Lepisosteus oculatus: one gene and its partner. The protein of the gene in region 1 purifies or fractionates together with the protein of each later gene. This does not show direct contact. Links are inferred from orthologs where the notes say so. Each region holds a gene or a part of one and is shown on either strand. Other genes may lie near its edges.

The links. The genes of interacting proteins can lie anywhere in the genome.
Region 2: the proteins of arpc5b (region 1) and actr3b purify together in Homo sapiens (affinity purification with mass spectrometry; 5 studies listed by BioGRID and IntAct, counting the BioPlex papers as one, with this or other methods). This does not show direct contact. The link is inferred for Lepisosteus oculatus from reciprocal best matches to the Homo sapiens genes ARPC5 and ACTR3B.

Annotation. Positions count from the first base shown.
Region 1 is NC_090704.1:8,352,239-8,359,110, forward strand, and holds the start of arpc5b (actin-related protein 2/3 complex subunit 5b), read right to left. Parts: upstream 3,019-6,872; 5' UTR 2,858-3,018; coding exon 2,717-2,857; intron 1,028-2,716; coding exon 956-1,027; intron 530-955; coding exon 353-529; intron 162-352; coding exon 99-161; 3' UTR 1-98. UniProt on the Homo sapiens protein: Component of the Arp2/3 complex, a multiprotein complex that mediates actin polymerization upon stimulation by nucleation-promoting factor (NPF).
Region 2 is NC_090701.1:10,983,816-10,991,589, reverse strand, and holds the start of actr3b (actin-related protein 3B), read right to left. Parts: upstream 3,002-7,774; 5' UTR 2,841-3,001; coding exon 2,797-2,840; intron 399-2,796; coding exon 343-398; intron 1-342. UniProt on the Homo sapiens protein: Plays a role in the organization of the actin cytoskeleton.

The DNA.
Region 1 (6,872 bases):
AACCAAAAGGAAGGAGTACTCCACAGTGCCCTGTGAAACAACTCTTGGTTTTTGTACCAGCAAATCCCTCTGTAAAGCAGAGCTGTCCCGAGTCTCCATTAAACGGTTTTCCTGGCAGTTAACACTCGAACAATGGAGCCCACACCACCAGCAGATAAAGCCTAGAACAGAAACAGGGAAATCTTAAGGTCAAGCTAACCTTTGGGAGTTAATACCGAAATCCAACCGGCTTTTCAGTTGAACCCCACAAGTACTTGTTAAACCTGTTGTTGTGAAAGAATTCATCATAAAGAGTTTCCGGAAAACGGATGTTCGGAAACAGAGGGAAACAGGTGAGACAACAGGTACTAACCTTTTCATGCCACTGCAGCAACACCGCGCTGCTGTTTTCTGAGGGATTCTCAAAGCCCTTGTAGATGTACTTCATGAGGAGATCCACTCCATTCTTATCCAAGGACTGGACGGCTTTCTCTATGTCGCCGGTCTTGAACGCGCTCAGCACTTTAAGAACCAGGCCTTCCGCCCGATCCTGGAGACAGCAGAATTAGGGATGAGGCTGCAACACTACCTCAGCCACAACGCCAACATGAACAAACACTGATTCATGACGAACTCATTTGATATAAAGTGCACGAGTGCCAAAACAAAATCGAACTGGGAAATGCGAGCCATTTTTGGTACGAAAAATACCAGTTTTGATAAAACCAAGGCAACTTGGTAAGAAACTGTAGTTATATCAGTGTTGGCAACCTTTTCTCTTAACTAGTTTCAATAACCTGACTAGGAATTTTCAAACAGAACATTATTGTCCCTTATTCTCTTATGCTTTAAAAGTTAAACTAATGGGCCTTCTCAAAGCAAATACAAGCAAAATACTTTCATGATCAAATTCTCAGGTCATAATGGTCAGGTCAGGGCATAATAACAAGAGGAGCCGCAAAAAATAAGAACTTGCCTTGACATTTTGGTTCTTTGTGTTGATTGGTGGGTTTTTAAGGACAGCTTGTAGGGCCCCCATCAGATTCCCTGTGCAGAAGGATGTGAAGGAAAAAATGCATGCACACAGCAGCAATACAATATCCCACCCTTAAAGATGTATAATATTTCCTAATGACAAATGTAAAAAAAACAATTACACACGTTTTACTGTTAACGCATCCAATAGAATTGTATATTACTCAGTTGTCATTTTCGTTACTGTGTTACGTTAAACTAGGTGCGTGGAAAATATCTTTTTCAACGACAAACATTTTTTATTTTTTTTTTCCCTGTTGGAAAGGAAAATAAAGGAGGAGGAGACTGTGAATACATTAATATGTGGAATGCACGCTTCTATGGTGTTCATTCAATTACTGTTGGCTTTACTTTCTGTAAAGACTAGGCCTCAGCTACACTTTTGCAAATCATAACTGAAGCGCAGAAACAGGAACTAGTGTGGTAGAGAAATTACTGACATATATGGCATTAACACAACTTCCCATCGTGACGTATCAGTATCGCTATAGCTACTGGGACAATTCTTATAAACCTGGCGATAACATTATTTAGTGTACTTAATGCCGCATCTTCTAAATTGGGCAATAATTTCTCGTGTTTTTTTTTCTTGAGAGAAAGTCACACTGCGCTGCTCCCTGGAATGCAAGAATAAAATACCTTCAGCACAGACAAGCCCAGACATACTAAATTGCAGTGCTGTGCACAGGAGTAAACCTCTTTTGTGCTGCAATAGCTATATACAGCAAATTGTACAACTCACTTCTCAATCAACTGCTGAAATATTTAATTATATTCCAAAAATGGGGGCAACTGTACAGGGTTTATTTTATCACTCATATTCACCACCTTCCAAAATGATCACTGAGGCATTTTTCGCTTCTTCAAAACCCGTACAAAACGATCCCTAATGAAATAATATCTGACCATGTCAAGAAGCTGTGAGCTCGCTTTCACCAAACTTATAATTAGTGGTGAAAGAGATTGTAATGACAAAGATACAGGTCTGAAGCCAGCCCATTCTGAAATTACAGACAGGTAAAGCAACTGTGTAATGATAAATACCGATGTACAGATCTCTACATTCGCATACCGCGTAAATGATTAAACTGCATTTACAAGACTCCCGTGTATCAGCAAACTACAGCCATATGAAGAAGAGACAAGAAAGTGTTATGTATCGGCTTGCGTGCACAGACCTCGCCCTCGGGGACATTTCACATTGTGCAAAAATTAAATTATTATTAAACATGGCCCATTTCTGCTGATAGACTCAAGTGGCAGTCGAGGTCATACTAACGTCGTTGAAACAATAAAATGTAATTGCAAATACGATTCTCGCTTTGAAACGACTCAACCACGACTTGCGTGCCATTCATTCCCCAATTTGGTTTGAAAGTCGTACTTTGCTTTCCGTTATTTCTACATCATCCCCCGCTTCCTACAGCTTTTTGCTCTTTTGTGCAGAACGTAGCAGATAGGACACCTCAGTAATACGGTGCCAAAACACACGTAGAAAAAGAACGTAAAGTTCACAATGACTAACTCCCACCACACCCATGAAATTGCAAATCGGTGTGAGCTGCAGACAACTGACGGTGCACCGATCAAATCATTCCTAACTTCACAGCATGATTAAAACAGAAATTTACATTTGTAACCCGTGCAGCCAATCTGATTATATTTACAGTAAAAAAAAAATAAAACCCTTTTTTAAAGGATATTGTCTAATTAAAGAGTCCACTTCCCCTTCGTCGGGACCCAGCTGATTCTCTCCACCATCCTCCTCGTCTACAAACTTGTTCTCGTCGTACTCGTCCACGTCTACCTTCCTGAAACGGTCGGACACGGTGTTTTTCGACATGGCGACTTGCGCTTCTTTGCAAAGTCTCAACTATCCTTCCACCCGCAGTGAAAACGCCGCACTAGCGTGAACGACAAACCCGGCCTTCAGCTGGTCTGATTTGGAGGAATCCTCACGGAGCTCCTGCTTCCTTCCTCTCAGTCAGCCATCCATTCACTTCCGCAATGCGGCGCCCTCTGCAGTTCTCTTAGGGAAGTGCACCACAGTACCTGAAACTGCTCAGAAGGTACAGTAGCAGCCAGTATCCCTCAAGCACGGAAGGCTGATTCCTAACTGATGATAAGTTTACAGGTTTTCCCGTCATTGCAAAGAGGTGTGAGCCTGGCCAGTACCTGGATGGGAGACCTCTTGGGAAAGCTAAGATTGCTCCTGGAAAAGGTGTTAGTGGGGCCAGTAAGGAGTGGTTACCCTGCGGCCTGTGTGAGTCCTATTATCCCAATATAGCAATTGGGACACTGTATTGGTTATTAAAAATCCCAGGGTGCTTTCAAAAAGCTTTTCCCCCCTTCCTCAACCATGGCCTCCTAATAATCCCCATCTATGAACCCGGTCCTTTATTCTGTTTCCTCCTCACTTGCTGGTGTGTGGTGAGCTTACTGGAGCACTAACGCTGCCATCACGTCAGGTGGGGCTACACATTGGTGGTGGTGGAGGGGATCCCCATTATCTGTGAAGTGCTTTGAGCGGAGTGTCCACAGAAGCACTGGATAAGTGGAAAGAATTATTATTATTTTAAATCATCAGAACAAAAGACAACAGTTCAGTGGGCCTCCAGGACTGGTGAACTGCTGTTTTAGGGTCGGTTTGCCCAACCCCTGGAAGTATAGAATACTGCAGGATTTACAGGTCTGTTTAAATTGGCAGCACTGTAGTACCTGGGAACTGCTCCAATTAAGATAATAGTTCAATTGTGTTAAACCGATCTTGAATGAAATCCCAGAATAGTTGCTCTCAATTCAGGCAAATTATAAATCTTACTGCCAGGATTCCCAATTCTGGTTGAGAAGGCCCAAACATCTGCTGGTTTTCACGCCAGCTGAGCTTAAGCCTTCCTGGATCTAAGAAACTGGTTGATTGGAACATTTGCAAGTATTTGTTTTTAACGAAAGAGCTTGGGATTTGATGAGGAAGTGCAATCGTTAAAAGGCTACCTCCAGTAGGTCGGACATCTGAATACAGTCACATCAAATTAATCCTTGTTATTAAAATTCAATGGTGTAACTGACAACTCGTCTTGAACAAAAACCGGCAGGTACTGTATATGGGTCTCTAGGATCTGGTTAGAGAATTCCATTACATATTCCACACATAAATACTAATATATGTGTTTTTCTAATAAGTTCCACTTGGTGTAGCTGTTGCTTAATAATACACGGACGCTTTAAAACTGCGCTATCTTTAAGGAAGTCATTCGACCTGAATCTGAACTTTATATGTATGTTGTCTGCTCACTTGTTGCATGCAATTATTTTAATTCACACGCTAGAGCAGATTTACTGGTGCTTTTGTGGGAAAAAACAGTCCCCGGATAATTAATATTAACAACAGGAACAAAACTGTAAAAAAAATTAAAAGTGCTAGCATAGAGTGAAACAAATTGCACTCTGACATTAAGATAGTAGCCTAACCCCCAGAAGATTTTATGAGTTAACATTGAATCGTCATACACTTGGAACAATCTCATTTTGACCACAGAAGCAAATAAAAGTGGATAATCAAGGGAAATATTGGGGTAAAACCCACTGAAGCAAAGCAGGTGTGAGTCTGGCCAGTAACTGAATGGAAGGCCTCCTGGGAAAACTGAGCTTGCAGCTGGAAGAGGTGTTAGTGGGGCCAGCAGGGAGTCTCACCCTGGTTTCTGTGTGGGTCCTAATGCCCCTGTAGTGATATTGTAAAAAAGGCACTCTCCTTCAGATGAGACATAATGTGTTATCCCAGGCATCCTAGCCAAATTTCCCTGGCCTTTGCCAAATCATGGCCACCTAATAATCCCCATCTATGAATTGTGAATCAATTCACTACTCTGCTCTCCTCCCTAATGATAGCTGATGTATGGAGTGAACTGGTGCACACTGGCTGCCATCGCATCATCCAGGTGGGGGCTACACATCAGTGGTGGTGGAGGGGAGTCCCCATTACCTGTAAAGTGCTTTGAGTGGAGTGTCCAGAAGCATAAGGAAGTGTTGTTAATTATTGTTATTATTATTTAAAGTATTCGAGATCACAAAAAAGTATGTCCACACCCTGTAGGTCTTAATATCTACTGGAATTAATTGAACAAATTGACTTGCTAAAACTGTAAGGTATGTAGAAATTAAGGATTAAAATGGTGACCTACAGTATGACCATGAGCTCAGGCTCGGTCTGCCTGGCTCTGATGCCTTCTTCCACTTTTTGTGGTCTATGAATCACAAGCATTTTGTTTATGCTGACGTTTTGCAACCAAACCTAAAAGAAGAAGTCTCTTCCTCCTTCTTTTTTAACATTTTTTTTTACCCTGAATGGAGGCATCTAAAACACAGCAAAAATACTACCAGAAAAAAAACACATTTCTTTGCGATTCTGTGTCACGCTTATGTCACACACTACAACAGGGCAAAAAAAAACGGATCCTTTTATAAAAGAAGTGGTGAAGTCCTTGAGTTAGTTTTGTACAGTGGAGCATAACTACAATCCTTCAGGGTCATAATTGAACTGTTAGCTTAATGGGGCCATTAACTCTTTTAAAAAGGTTCTTCATCCATTGATGTTTTAAAAAGACCTAGAAATCCTACTGGATTCTGGATTTTAGGACTGAAATCTTTAATTTGCAATCTACTGTATATACTGATGACTCATCTCAAGTACCAAGTGCCTTATTATGCTTCTCTTCTCTCACATGTGGAAGCTGAGTGACTGAAGAGCTTTCACCCACAACATGCAATTGTGTGAAGATTTTGAACATGAGTCTTATGCAAACCGCAATATTCAATCTTCCCAGTGTTAAGAAAAAGGTCTGAAGAAAATAACCTCAAACTACCATACACACATTTACAGAGCTTCTACCACATGTGTTGTTAAGCTTGTGGTTCAGTTTGCATATTTGTATGCAAACCTGGGCATACTGTAACTCCACTCTTTAGGAACAACAGTGTGCCTGTTTCCATGCACTGAACTTTGTATAATGAAACATTCTTTCCTGTTTATCACTGAGGAGCCTACAAGCAAAGGATAACATTTCACTAACATAAATTCTAAATAATCTCACCATAACCTCCATAAGCATCAAAATAAAGGAATTACTTTGTCTATGAAAGCATCTCTGTATCTATAAAATCAAAATCTTCAAAGAAATCTTTGATTTATGTGACTTTCAGCTGTAGGAAAAGCAGTATTTTTTTTGACAGAAGTAACATTACATCAGCACACGTGTTTTTTTAGATGACGTTTGTGCAGGAGAAACTGAAATACAGTACTACTTTCTCTTAGGATGTATTAATTGCAAATTAGAACGGACAGCACAAATCTTTAAAGGTAAAAATACCTTTACTTTTTTTAATTTTTGGATTAAACGTAATATGAAAATTAAATTAACAAAAAAAGAATAATACAGACAATGCAATGCAACGTTTAGCTACCAAATCAATGGCAGTTTTTTCGAACAGGATTTGTCCAAAAGAGTCCATTAAAAATTTTCTTTGTCGTGCGAACCGATTTTGGCTTTGAAATTTGAATTTACATACGACGAATCTACAAAATAAGGGTGAAGAATATGCAATAGCGATTGTTTCGTTTTCTATAGTGAAAAAAAACATGCAGCGAGCGGTGAGACTAGAGGAAAGATAATGCAGTGTCTGTGTCGGAGGCAGTTATCCAATAAAGCCCTTGTATACGGCGTCGAGTGAAGATTGTACCGAGACTCTGTGCAGTTGCACAACATTTGTAAGCAACTTAATAACGCCTTGCTTTTAGACATTAATGTTTTTGACACTCTGGATTGTTGACAATTTTGGTAATGGTTTTTAGGCAGTAAAAT
Region 2 (7,774 bases), on another chromosome or scaffold:
AGAAATTATGACTTTTTTCATAATGCACCTATTTGTGTTTTTTAAATAATGTACATTCGATTTTTGTGCACCACCTAGTTATTTCTTGGAGTATTATTCAACTGCTTTTTCTACATCATAGTTTTTGACCTAATGTAAGAAAGTGTATCACTGTGTACTGAGCATCAAAAGAAATGTAACACTCCATATGTGTGTGTTTTCAGAAAATGCTACAAAGCAGAAGGTTATTTTCCTAATAATAACTTTGAGAATCTGTTGCAGTTGTTTCCTTTGAATCTCAGTACTCAGTACTATAAAAGCTGGCTATATTTTCATGGCCTTAACTGCTTAATTAATACTCACATGAAGGTATGATGAACTGTGGTTCAGTATTCCCAGCATAGCCAATCTTTGTGTATCTGTAGGTACAGAGCAGACTTAGTGTTAGTTTTATTTTTGTTTAAAACCCCTTTGAAAAACACAAAATATAGGCCTGCATTGAGTGAGACCCAAATATATAATTCTGCATTATTATTGCAAATGCCTGTTTGTCAAATTCAGTGATTTAAAGTGGTGCCAACAGAAAGCAATTTGTATTTCACAAGCACCTGTTCATCTGTTCATTGCATTGTCTGTGTTGTAAGCCTAAATGTGAGAAATACAAAAACCAATATCATATACTTTAATGGAAAGAAAATGTTGTAGTTCTTAGAGACAAAATGAACATCACTTGCATGACTAAACTCAAATTTGTAAGCAGCCTTGATCAATACGATGAAATGTACTAAAGAACATCAAAATTGAAACTTCTCCATTCCTCATCAATATATGTCATGATAATTACAAGTTTTCAGGTCTTTTTACATTTAAATACGGAGGCCTACCAATGCACTAACAAGATACTGTAGTGCAAATTTAACATTCTAATTCCCTTACGATACACTAACAACGTTAGGAAAATAATGCACCCATCTGAAAGTTTATGCAGTATCCAAAAATCTTGACCGATTATTCATTGCAACCAAAGATATACACAGATACAGTCTTTTAAAAATATGACATAACCAGCTACATAAAATATTTCTTTTGTTACAGACATGAGGTTTGAAAAGGATAATACATCAAAGGACATAGAGGTTAACATACTGTACAGTACATGTTTGATAAGTCCCCTTGCCACTGTCTAGAATCCCAAACTGCTACATCTACAGTAGTCAGCTTTCACAGTTGATTACAGCCTACTAATCAACACATTAAGATTGAGTAGTGACCGTGTTTTCCTCTCAGGGATGCACCGTTGGAGTTCTGAGGCTCTGAAGTTCCTACAACACCATTTGCATAGAATGGAGGAAAGATGAGGCTAAAACCACTGTAAACTCAAAGGCACCCAGATCGTCACTGTGGTCACTAATATGCTACAATAACCCAGCTGTCCCAAACCTACCAATCTCTGCAATACCTGGTGAATTGTGTTCCGCTTAAAGTTGTGACTTTAAGGAATCTCAGTCACAGCAAACTAATGATATGGCCCAGTCCATGACAAATGACACACCCATTTTAGAGACATTTCATCAACAGGGAAGCAGATTAGAAACCTGAATTTCATGTTTCCACTTTTTCATTTTGTATGGTAAATATTACCCATCCCTCCACGAAATCATAAATGAAAAGGGTAAAATCAGTTCTCAGCTAAATGCTGTGTTGAACTTTTAGAACATTTTATGTTACAAAAAAAAAGTACCAATCACTATTACAGAATCTGAGCCACGCACAGACTGTAAAATATCTTAATTTTGCAAAGAAAGGGGGCCATACAGTACAGTATATAGGCCTATCAACAGATGTGCATACGGTATTAAAAACACTAAACCTTTTATTTTGAATTTCATTTATTTGTGCCACTTTAGTTAAACCTGAACAAACAAAATATGACCACTATTATTGTGAGAAAAGCTGAGCCCAAGATTATATACAAAAGTACTACTTAAGTATTTCAGAGATATTTCATATTCAGAATTCATTTAGCAATATTTGGTGATTACTTTGCTTTAGATATATTATTTTTCTACCATTGTATACCAATTTAATTGTTGTTTAAATTTACAACTGCAGTACAAAAGTGTTAACATTTGTATGTGAATTATTTTACCCTCAGTATCATAGCTACCATACAATAATAGCTATTATTTATTTTCATATTTTACTTGGTATATAGAACAAGTTGATAATGTAATTCAAACCACAGGCAAGATTATCATATTATGATATATGCGTCCAAAAATAGCATTTATTCTTGTCTTTCCCTACAATGTGATAAATGTCAAGTTTAACTTTAACCTGTTAGCCTTGTAATCCACAGACCTTCTGTATAACGGAGTATCCATGGTTTGTAAAAAGCTAACACACTACTGTACACTATATGCATAATCGATTACTATCTACCATAAACGAGTGTCATTTCTATTCTACAGGTCCCCACTGTTAATTTAAGATAGTGTATTTGAAAACAAGCTTGACAACAATTTCATTATGACAAAACCTAGTTTTTACACAAGTAAAAAATTATTAAATATAATAAATCGTTTAATGACAGCAATCCGCACCTGTCATTAAACGACGTGCACCCGTGTAATGACACTATAATAACCAAAAGAAATGTCAGTGACCGTCATTTTAGACAACACTCATTAAGAAAACCTCAGTGTAAAACGTGTTTATGTAGTACGTGTGCCGTAGAGGTGTTTGTTCAATTTTAAGTATGTGCAATAAGTAAACTGATCATTAAAAAACAAAAATTAAATACAATCGCTAGCTCACCCAGTTCCACAGTCAATAACGCAAGGAGGTAAATGCACAGCCATTGCTTGGGTTAGACAAATATCCCTGTTTTACTGTAACATGAATAAATAACAAAATATGTATTTTGACTTCTAAATTAAGGAAACCGTACTACAGGACACTGCAATGCCAGATTACCCCCATGTACCGTTACTCCTCCGTAATGCTGACAGCATGAATACTTCCCGAGTCAAAGGTGGAAAACATGGAGTCGTTCCTGGATATTAATCCGAAACAAACAGGGAGAGCTGTCCCTATGGCAACGGGTATGGCCTGCTTGGGATCATGCTGTAGCTGCATAGACAATCAAACACGTTATTTCTTTTTAGTTCTAAAATTTTAATACCTAGCATCTATAAATCAGCTTCATATTGTTGTGAAAGAGTAGTACGTGCTTGGACCGTGACGTGTTTATTTGCTCCATGTGTTTAGTTCGTTTAGTTTTTCCGTGGCGATTTAGTTAATACTGTACATTGAACATTATGTACTTGGATGTCTGTAGGCATAGTTACAGTGCAATACTAAGAAGAAATGTTTAAATTGCAAAATACAGCACAGTCACGGCGTTTATAGTCACACAGTGAAGTTAAAAGTTTAGTTTCAAGATACAGTATGGGCAGGCACTAAGGGTGTAGGATTGCAAAAAAAAAAGCACATTGTTCAGAAAAGCTTTTCTTGTATCTTGTCAACAGCAGTGGGTGTCAGTCGACACGTATGATAAAACAATTTGTAAGTCAGATTGTCTAATGCTATTGGAATTGCAATTTTTAGGGGGTGACAACCGTGAGAAAATACTGTCGTTGTATTTTTATTTTATAATTTCCGCTTTTATTTGCACAGGCACTGAACAGGGCTTTATACAGTATGAGGTGCCTGCTATGAAAACAAGACACAGATTTATAATAGCAAAATTAGTGTTTGTTGTATAAGAGCAACTATTGTGTATGGAAAAAACAAAGATATGGGCTCAAAACAAAGATAATTCATTCAGACATGCCATTTTTAAAAGTGCTAAATGTAAAAAAAATCCATATAATTCAAAATGGGTGATTTCTGAGCCATCTAAGGTTTGCAGGCTTCTAACTAAATACTGTATGAACAAGTATGCAGATTTCAATGGTGCAAAGGGCTGGTGTATATTTTTTTACATTATTCATCTCCTGGAAAACTCAGGTTATGACAGGAGTTAATTTGAAATGTTGCTTACCTCACATGTGTTATTGTTTTATTGAACTTGGCACACTCACAGGATGTGAATGAGTAATATATTTAGTCTGTACTGTATTTTTTCAGGTCACAAAATTGGAAGCAATTAAATATATACAGAAGGTTTGGAGGTGGGTGAAGGATTACACCTTTCCCGCAACCCTGAACAGATATAACCATTGTAAATCTGAGAAGGAATTCATTTACATCTGTAGTCGTCTACATTTTTATTGTGTGTGAGAGATGTGGTGAAATTGTATGTCTTCTCATAAATTGAATTTCAAATACATTATCAGAAAATATAGTTGCCTTTTTTCTGGACAGACCATCCTATAATATAAAATATTTGGTCTTTCTTTGTTGGCTCTAAACGCTCCAGATATATATTTTTAATGAACCACAAGCTCATGACCTTTTGGAAAAATAAATCATATGTACATATTTCATATTTTTACATGTAAAAAATTTAACTTTTAAGTAAAACTGTGAATGGGTTTGCTAATTTTACCCAACTCAGCTCTACTTAAATCATTTATATAAGGCCCTTCCAAAAGTAAAAAAATAATAACAATGGCTTAAAGAAACCCATCAGCTTTATAGATTGACATTTACAGTATATTCCAGAGCTGAGGATCACAGAATCACACAATCAGCAGAATTTTCAGTCGTTTAATCTTGCCTGCCACAATGAATATAACAGTAAATTCATAACTAGCCAACACAAACCTCCCAAGCACATTGGTGCACACAGACTATTTGTGGCTGTAGGGATCAAGAATAATACAGCTTTCTCCTGTTATCTCCATATGCATTGCATTTTGGACTCCTAGGCTCTAAAATTTGGCTTCACCACTGACACTGACTGCCTATTTTCAACACTGTTGTTTAATTTGTTTTTATACAGCAATAGTTTAAGCTAAATTCTTCAATATTCAATGACAACTGTCATGATTCACCACTAGATGGGGATGCTACCAAAATTACTGTTGCAGAACCTATTCTTGCTGTATTAAAAAAGAAACATCTTAATATTAAAATTGGTATTGTAATCTGCAGTCTACACAAGACTTGTTATTAAATGACGTTTTAGTTTATTTTTATAACTACTGATTTTACTTGTAGGCTTTGGTTCTCCCTCGATGCTGTACAGTATATTGGATAAAGCAGTTAGAAAATCAATGGATGATTTGATACATGTAGAATTAAAATATTTTAATCTTAGGCCCTTCTGACAATTTTTTTTAAAGAATTGATCATATCATACTTTCATTATTGTTGTTTATATCAAAGTAATGGGTTAGTATTACAGTAGGTCCTGTCTGCTAAATCACACTGCACTTTGTTTGAGAAATGGGACAATTGTGCAGAACCTGTAATGTTCTTACATTTAAAGAATGGTCAGAAATGCTATTTACCTCAAAACTGCTCCTATGAAAACATTTGTCCAAAGTAACATAGGATAAACTACATCTACAAAATTCCAATGATTCATAACAGCTAAGTATTGAAGTAATGTATCATAATACAGTAAAATGTATCATGACATTAACCAGTAAATTAATTTTGTTTAAAAAAATCTCATTCAACTTTTATGAAATCGACAGATCCCAGTAGACCTCCTTTATAAAGACTCCTGAACAGAAAAAAAATTATAAATCCACTGAAACATCATGTCGATATCTGTTGTATGTCACTGGAAAGATTTATGCTTTTATATACCTTTCTTGTTATTGAACCACTTTAAAACGTGTCACTTTTTTTAAAAGATATGTTTTATCAGATGTTTAGTGACCCAATAAAGTATCCATGTTTTCTGTGTAACTGTTTTTGTTTCAATTCTCAAAACATCTTTATCACTCTCTTTCCCAGCCCCTGCCAAACAGGACTTTCAAGTAAAGACAAGTTCTGCAAAACACTAATATTTATAGTAGCTCTGAGAGCTAAAAATCCTGAATGGTTCATTAAAGTCTACAATTGAGTAAAAAAATTATCTGGTGCCCCATTATGAAACTTTCTTCAGATGTAAGATTAGCATGCAACCCATACACACTCAGATGCTTTTGAATTTCAAAACATTGGTGACTGATAAGTTAATAATTAATTAGTGCATTTTCCCTACCTGTATGTATATTATAATCAGAGAAGTTTGAAACATTATTATTGTATTATATTGCAGATACATATACAGTATATACAAACAACTTTGTTGGGCTCCTATGCTAAAACTCTTCTAACATTATAAAGGACATCACAGCATTTACATAGTAGGCAAGACAGGGTCAGATTCCTTTTAAGTTTTCTTATGTATGACTTTCCATGTTGGATAAAGCTGTACATACAGTATTTATACAGTACATACATGTTGTAGAAGGGCAATATTAACTGGATTACATTCCCCAGAAGTTTGCAAGGAATGACACTGCTGTCATCTGCCCCGCTGGTTAAATTAAACTGGTCTAGTGACAATTTAAGCATCGTAAAGTGGGAACTTGCATAGTTCCACATCTGCCATCACCAAACAGAGAATTTGCTGAATGTGCTGCATCAGTGTGAAAAGGGGTTAAACTAAAGAGACCAAGAAAACAAAAGAAACCAAAAATGAGTGGAAACTGATTCATGCCAGTAGACAGTGTAGCTAACCCACTTTCTAATTATACTGAGGGATTCAAAGAGATTTCGGTTAGTGCTCAGGTGAGCTTTGTTTTGTTTTATGTTTTGAATAACGTTCTTTCACACTATAAGTAAAGCGCACTATTTTACATTCACTATTGTTTCTGTGGGCAGTGTAATTGTGAAGTAGACAAGGTTATTTTAATGATTTTAATGATTTTACCACATTTACCACATTTTTCCGTGCTCGATCGTGGAGAATGTGAGCAGTATGTTGTGATCTTGAAAACCACACACTCTACAGACAAAAAGTGATAGTGCAAAGGAGTATTTTTTTCATCCCATAAATACTCAATAGAGCCATTACAGACTTCTAACGAACCTACAGAACTTCCACATCGACTGCTCTGTTGTACGCCTCAATTACCAGATCATTCGGCTTGGCATTAAATCACCTCATCACTTGTGCCTAATCAACCTTCTCACTAATGAAGTGATTTAGTGCTTAAAACAATCAAAGTCTCTCCAGTGTACCACAATCAATGAATCAAATTGAATGATCAATTAATCAAATTGACACCAAACACGTGTAATCAATATCCAAAACTTGCTAGTGGAGCTACTGCCCCTACATGTGTAACAACTCCACTTTGGTGCCCAAGCATTTCATGGGCTGCATTTGTGCTAAGTTTGACACACTTTGAACAATCGGTTCCGTTTCTATTAATGAAACTGTTTAATAACCTTTGGAGTTTCAAGTATTCACTTCTGTATTTTCTCTGCACTATTCACTTACTTTCATTGTGCTGTTCTGCATTTATCATTTTAATAATCTCTTCGTTCTTACCTGTACCAGATAAAAGCCACCAATCCATTTAAGCCTAACCATCACATTGCAAACTCAACTAATTAAGTTCACATTGAAGTCATGCAAAAGCACCACAGCACTAAATTCAGAGAATGATTTATAACACAAGGATGTTTGTCAAGCCAACTACATTATGAATAATAACATAACATTGGATATTATGTTGTATGTATGAAGTACACATGGTTATATTACTCTGGCAATATTATACACCCATCCATTTTCTGTTTCAAACTGTCCAATACAGGATCAAGGGGGAGCTGGAGCCTATCC